Mytilus edulis: one gene and its partner. The protein of the gene in region 1 purifies or fractionates together with the protein of each later gene. This does not show direct contact. Links are inferred from orthologs where the notes say so. Each region holds a gene or a part of one and is shown in the gene's direction. Other genes may lie near its edges.

Region 1 (3,600 bases):
AAATAAAAAACAACAGCAGAGGGTCACCAACAGGTCTTCAATGTAGCGAGAAATTCCCGCACCCGGAGGTGTCCTTCAGCTGGCCCCTAAACAAATATATACTAGTCCAGTGATAATGAACGCCATACTAATTTCCAAATTGTACACAAGAAACTAAAATTAAAACAATACAAGACTAACAAAGGCCAGAGGCTCCTGACTTGGGACAGGCGCAAAAATGCGGCGGGGTTAATTATGTTTGTGAGATCTCAACCCTCCCCCTATACCTCTAACCAATGTATAAAATATTTGTTCCATCAGGTACAGGTATTATGACATTGTTTATAACAAAGTTTCCACTGGAACTTCTATTAGGTGGAACAAATATACGTTGACAGGAACTCTGGTAACCGTTGCGCTTTTCATTTTTTTCTTCCAGAATTATTCAAATGCTGATATTTCATATTCAACTTATTTTGCCTTTTGAGGACAGACCCCAAATTTGTACGATATAGAACCAGTCATATTTGAAAAAGAGAAGCAATTTCTGTATAATAGAATCAAATAGATAGTTGGCCAATGGACTATCATTAAGATGTTTCATTCAAATATGAATCATATGATCATGCAGGTATTTTTCAAATGTTTTGATTAAGAAACTGCAAAGTAATCAAGGGGGCACAGTGATGGTAATGGCTCACATGATGCCTTGAGCTCAGAATAATTTATTTGCTATGCATTCAACCTGAGACTACTATGTGTTATAGTCTCAGATAATTTTTTTCAACTGTTCAAATTGATTGTGGCCACCTCATCTGCAATGATTCTAACAGGAAGATGAGGTGACCATCCTGAACTACGTTTTTTCCTGTAAAAAAAATATGTTCTTTTATACTGTATTTGTATCTGAGAAAGGATTGGGAAACGATGTGTAAACAATCCGGCTGCTTATCCAGCTATTTTCAAAAAGGCGGGGAAATATCGTTCGATTCTCTCTAGACTTTCTATTAGGCTGCAGAAGAATAAAGTGTTCATTTTTAGCATGTTACCAAAATAAAATGTATTTATCGAATTTTGTTCTTAAAATGATTAATTTTGGTTATATTAAATATCAGAACTATACAAAATATATGAAGAATAATAAAACTGTACAGAAATGCAGTCAATCATCATATATAGAGTTGTGTATCTAAAATATATTCGTGTCCGTTGTTAATTTTGGTTATTAGCTAAATTTATTATACCCAACGTTATTGGAAAAAAAAACTTTTAGACAATTACATTTTAGGCACCTTTTACAGAGATCTAAGAAGTGAAAGGCCAAGATGCCGAGAATTATGATAAAAGGAGGTGTTTGGCGTAACACGGAGGTAAATGTCCATACATTATTGGAAGTTTTTTACTCTTTTTAATATACATTAATGATTTTCCAGAATACCTGGAACACAGCAAACTACGACTCTTCGCTGATGACAGTATTATATACCGAGAAATAACATGTCAACAAGACTGCACAAATTTACAAAAAGATCTTAACGCAGCAGCGAAATGGGAGGCTGATTGGCTCATGGCCTTCCATCCTGGAAAATGCACTATCTTAACCATCACACAAAAAAAACAACCATTTAAACACGATTACATCCTTCATAACCATACTTTAGAACTAGTAACATCTGCAAAATATCTTGGCGTAACCCTACAGTCTAACTTAAAATGGAACATTCACTACAACAACATCGTATCAAATGCAAATAAATCTCTTGGCTTTCTTAGGCGAAACTTAAAAATTTCTAACTCCAGTATCAAATCCCGTGCTTACCAATCAATAGTGAGACCAAAACTCGAATATGCCTGTAGTCTATGGGATCCACACACAGCAGATTATAAAAATAAGCTAGAAATGGTACAGAGGCGTGCGGCCCGATATGTATGTAACAATTACCACAACACCAGTAGCGTTACATCCATGTTAAACGAACTACAATGGCCCTCACTCAGTGAGCGCCGCCTCAAAACCAGACTTATCATGTTCTACAAGGTCATCCATGGACTCATTGCAATCCCATCACTAGTCCTCATACCATCAGATACTAGAACAAGAAAATGACATACTCAAACATTTCGGCAAATATCCACCTCTAAAGACAGCTACAAATGGTCATTCTTTCCGCAAACAATCATTCAATGGAACATGTTGCCACAAGTTGTGGTAGCAAGTCAAACCATTGAAATTTACAGAGATCAGTTGACACCAACTGTTCTCCACAACATAATTTAATTCTATAAATAACAATGTACATATTTTTTAATCACTTGTTGTTTTCTTTCATGTAAATATCACCAAGTATTCTACTAAGTTAAAGATAAATTTTTGTTCATATTTTTTAATCATATACTCCGCGCATGCAACAGTTCGTAATCTTCAATAATAATGAAGCTGTAACTGTATATCAGAAGAAGAAGAAGAAGAAGAAGTTTATCAGTTCACACACGCTTACATTTTTGTTTTACAACAGTGCATGTTTTTGTTTTGGCGTTTACATCAAACATTCTTAATATTGATACTGTTGTATAAGGGTGGTAATGGACATGACGAATAACAGTTAAAATTGTTGCCAAATGACGTTAACAGTAATTTTTGGTGCATGACGATTAAATGTGCACTTTCTTTTTTAGACCATGTAGACAATAAAAAAATAAAGATTTAGTTGATCACGTTTATTTATTTCCAAAAATAACGGTAACGTTAATTATTTGAGCCCTCTGACGAATCACAATAAGGATATTTTTACAAATCACAGTAAAATTTTAATCAATTTGACGCTAACAGTAGCCGAAAATTGACAGTTGACGCCTGACTGTAAAGGGCATTACTACCCAGTTGTATGTCTAGTGATATTTCTGTAGCAGGCTACCTTTTGATATACTGTAATGACTATGTTGGAATCTGCAACACTGAACCTCAGAATTTGTGAAAAATTCACCTTTATGTGGCTTCTGATTCAAAAGATATCTCTTGCAATGTCAAGGACAGGCAGGTACATGTAAATATCGACAAATGTATTAAAAAAAATCCAACCATTCTTACATGTATGTAAAAAATGGTGGATTAATATAAGAGTAAGAGTAAGTTATAGTTATGCTGTTTCTACAGCATGGTCAACAGTAAATTGATTAGTAAAATTGAATAAAGAAATGGTGAATATGTCAAAGAGACAACTACACGACCAAATAACAGCAGAAGGCCACCAATGGGTCTTCAATGCAGGGAGAAAATCCTGCACTTGAGGTGGGCATAAGCTAACCCCTAAATAAAAATGTGTTCTAGTTCAGTGAAAACTTCAAAACATATAAATGAACAAAAAATAAAAAACATTCAAGACAAACAAATTAAAGGCCAGAGGTTCCTGACTTGGGACTGAAGCAAAAGTGAAGAACACACAGCAATACCAACATTAAAATTCAGTTTATAAAATGCCTTTTAGTACTTAAAAGTAGGCCAGTTTAATGGGAAAAACTTATGTTAAACCAATGATATAAAGTATGCAATTGTATAATCATTCATTGACACTTTTCATTTCTATAGAAATCAATTGACCCTGCTCCTCAGTCATGGCCTAT
Region 2 (3,842 bases), on another chromosome or scaffold:
ACCTCAGTGGTCAAGTGGTCTAAATTGTTACCACAGTAATCACTAGCCAGTCAACTCTAATGTGAGTTTGAACCTTGCTCGTGCAGGTGGACTTGACTCCAATCTTAATTGACAAGAATTGCAGTTTTCCTATCCAAAGTCTGTGGATTTCTATGCTTCATCCACCAATAAAAACTGACCACCACCAAATAGCCCAAAAGAAATGTGTTAAAACACCAAAATCAATATCAATCAATCATTTCATACATTAAATAAAGTCAGCCTAGGTATATTAGTTATATGTAGTATCTAAAAAAACAGACAACCAGAAAAAACTTATCATTGATCTATCATGGGTGATGAAAATTAGAAATATGTCAGATGAACCCTGCCGAACAGCTTTTATACCATGCAATAAAAAAATAGCTGACGTACTGCATAAACTATCTAATATTCAAAACACAATAAAAGAGGGACGAAAGATACCAGAGAGACATTCAAACCCATAAATCAAAATTATACTTCACAATTCCATGGCTAAAAAGAAAAAGATATACAGACAAACACAATGGTACATAAAACACACAACATAGAAAATTAAAGACTTAAGCAACATGAACCCCACCAAAAACTGATGTAATCTCAGGTGTTCTGGAAGGGTAACAGTATTTACTTTTCGGTTTTGTTGATCACAAATTGTACAGCACCTGCACTTGATGACACAGCATCAGCGTGATGCTATTTTTCCGTTGCTGATTAACGAAAGAAGAAGCAGATCCTGCTCCACATGTGTCGCCCATTGTGTCGTTCATGTTAGTACAAACCCTGTAACAAGTCCTACTTGTTAGGAAAATTTTGTGAAAAAGGGAAAAGATTGTAGTTACGACATATGGGACACATCTGCAATCATACATCTGTGAAACTTATATTCCATAAAGGTCAACCAACTCCTGATGGCATCCGTAAATTTAAGAATGGAATGATTTCGTCTTAAAGTAAAATAGTAAAAAAAAATTGAATGTGCATATTTTGGTTGTTACTATTCATTGTGTTCAAATGAAGTAAATAGCACCCATCATCATAATTATTGTCTGATTTAACGGTCGTAATAGTCAAAGCTTATTATAGTCCGATTGTATGGGTTGGGCCGAATTTGTTATAGGCCGAGTTTGTTATGGCCCGAGATAGCAGAAATATTAAGTTATCTCCCCTTAGTATACAATGGCTGGAGAAGTTGTTGTCGATGCCTTACCTTATTTTGACCAAGGATATGACGAACCAGGTGTTCGAGAAGCCGTAAGTTTAATCAAAGATAATACAAATTAAATACAAATTACTGTTTATTCATTCATGACCCACTTATAATGGCCTCTCAAGTTAAAACTTCATACACGTGAGAAGTCGCAATTATTTATGCAGTAAAAAAAATATATATATAATTATATAAATATATTTTGCTAAGGAAGTAATTTAATTCTATAGCTTACTCGGTATATGCTCTGCCTGGAACTGATACAGTTGAACTGCCTTGTATTTGTAACACAGATGTCCCAGTGGGAGTCGAGACGAGCAATTTTGTAATGAATTGTATACTCTCTAGATCTGCACACAGGCACTCGTCTCAGAAATTTTTTTTCGGAGATGAGTGCCTGTGTCTCTGCAGACCGAGTTACATTAGCGCCCAACTAAAAAAACCCACAGTGGTAAGAGAAGAATTCTATCTAGGGTACATTTGTATATGTGTTAGAGTTATAATGGTATTATGACTAGACTTTCTGGAGGTGGGGGAAGGGTGATATGGTAGATCCTTAGTCAGCCGTAAGCAGTTGAACTAAGAAAGTACTTCATTAGCTCAGTCAATATACATGCTGTCTGGTAACATAAAGTGTGACATGTGAAAGTCAAATTATTGTGCTTTGAAAACGGGAAATGAATTCTAGTGGGTCACAGGAAATAACCAAAAAATAAGAATTGCTTACGTACATAGTGTATTAAAGCGGGATACGGGAATCTGACTAATACAGCCCCCGTTAAAGGCTACTTTCTTTATTTTGTTTTGACGCCTTTTTATATTTGATGATTTGATACTTAAAATCGATAAAGGAATAATTTAAAAGATAACAGAAAAACAAACTTCCTTGATTAGAATCCTTGGACATTTCAATATAAAAATCACAATTTTTCTTAAGGAATTAAGTCTAGGCTTAAATTTTGTGCCTCATTTTTATGTGTTGTATAATTTAATTTTAGGCTCTTGCTTTGGTTGATGAAGAAACCAGAAGATACAGACCTACAAAGAATTATCTAGAATACTTACCTGCTCCTAACTATCTACAGTTCGAGGTAATTACAAAAATATATTTAGAAATTTTACCTGCTCTAAAAATGTATTTAGTTTGAGGTATGAATTGGGGGGGGGGGGGGGGGGAGTAAATAATATAATTTAAATCCTGACATCCTGAAACACCCGATCCCGGAGTCCCGATTAAGGTCCTATCCCCCTTCATGAATGAATACATTATTTGCATTAAATATTCATGCTGTGGCAAATAATGATGTATACAGTAGACATGGTAGATTAAACTTAAATTTTTTTATTTGGTAATTTTTCATTTAAAGCTACATGACTGAAAAAAAATTTGAAGTTGAGTAGAATGAAAACCCTCTGGTACCATAAGCATGTGTCAATGACATTGCCTATGAAAATACAGATTATCAGATTTATAGCTTACAACGCAGTATTTGCTTTACTCATTGTTGAAGTCCGTAAGCTGACCCATAGTTGTAAATTTCTGTGTCATTTAGTCTTTTGTGGAGAGTTGTCTCATTGGCAATCATAGTCATACCACATCTTTTTTTATATCTATATAGCTATGGTCCTCCAACTCAAAGGAAGTCTTTTTAGCCATTCTTTGAGATTGTAGCCGAGAAGCATCCTATTTATTTTTAAAATTTAGATAATCTATTGTAAAGTCTAAAGAACATTGCAAACAAACATATACAAAAATGAACAGAAGTAATATGTTATACAATACTATTTCAAGAATATATATGATACAATTTTCTAAGCGGCTTTTAAATAAATACATAGTTTTACTGTCAGATTAACAATGCGAGTGGCTCAGTGCAATGAATCAACATAATTTTACTTTGGCCATGAATAGTAATATTTAGGTAAATTTTTTATTAGAAAAGATCTATTTCATTGTATTTGGTGGACAAGGTAAAACACGATGATATTCATCTCCAACATTCATATTGCAATAAATGTTCAAAGAAATAAAAGCCACTCTTACAGCCTACATGAGTGCAGTATTTGTGAAAGGAACATGACATAGAGATACAATGGTTATTTTTGATAGGCAGTTACGTTGTAAATCATTCATGTTTTTTCAAGCGAAAATTTTGTTTTCAGTCACTTTATAAAAATGCTTTATTTGTTGTTTTTTCAGACAGAGATAATGAAAACAGAGTATGAAAGAATGCAGTCACGGTTACCTATGGATATGTTGAACATGAAAAGGTTTACATTTTGTTTTAATCAAAATTACATTTAATGTATATTAAAAAAGAAATATTTAGAATATCCACAAGAAATGTTGATGTCTTTCAGACTTTGTAAATGTTATGAGTTAAATTGACACTAGCGGTTCAATACACACACTACAGACTCAAATGATTAGGTTTAAACCAACATCTTCATGCAGTATTCTTTTAAACCCCTTTTATATTTTGACAGGTTCAGTTCAGTTTCTTGTATATTCCTCCATTAATTGTGGAGCACTACCCAAAGGGTATAGTTTTAGCAACTACATTGTATGTACACCTTAAAACATAAGGAAACAATTAATTATATACAGATG

What was found.
Region 2: the proteins of cell division cycle 5-like protein (region 1) and pre-mRNA-splicing factor SPF27-like purify together in Homo sapiens (co-immunoprecipitation; 8 studies listed by BioGRID and IntAct, with this or other methods). This does not show direct contact. The link is inferred for Mytilus edulis from reciprocal best matches to the Homo sapiens genes CDC5L and BCAS2.

The regions. Positions count from the first base shown.
Region 1 is NC_092353.1:26,600,811-26,604,410, forward strand, and holds the start of cell division cycle 5-like protein, read left to right. Parts: upstream 1-1,194; 5' UTR 1,195-1,304; coding exon 1,305-1,349; intron 1,350-3,600.
Region 2 is NC_092356.1:71,257,551-71,261,392, forward strand, and holds the start of pre-mRNA-splicing factor SPF27-like, read left to right. Parts: upstream 1-1,136; 5' UTR 1,137-1,200; coding exon 1,201-1,275; intron 1,276-2,229; coding exon 2,230-2,322; intron 2,323-3,431; coding exon 3,432-3,502; intron 3,503-3,842. UniProt on the Homo sapiens protein: Required for pre-mRNA splicing as component of the activated spliceosome. Component of the PRP19-CDC5L complex that forms an integral part of the spliceosome and is required for activating pre-mRNA splicing.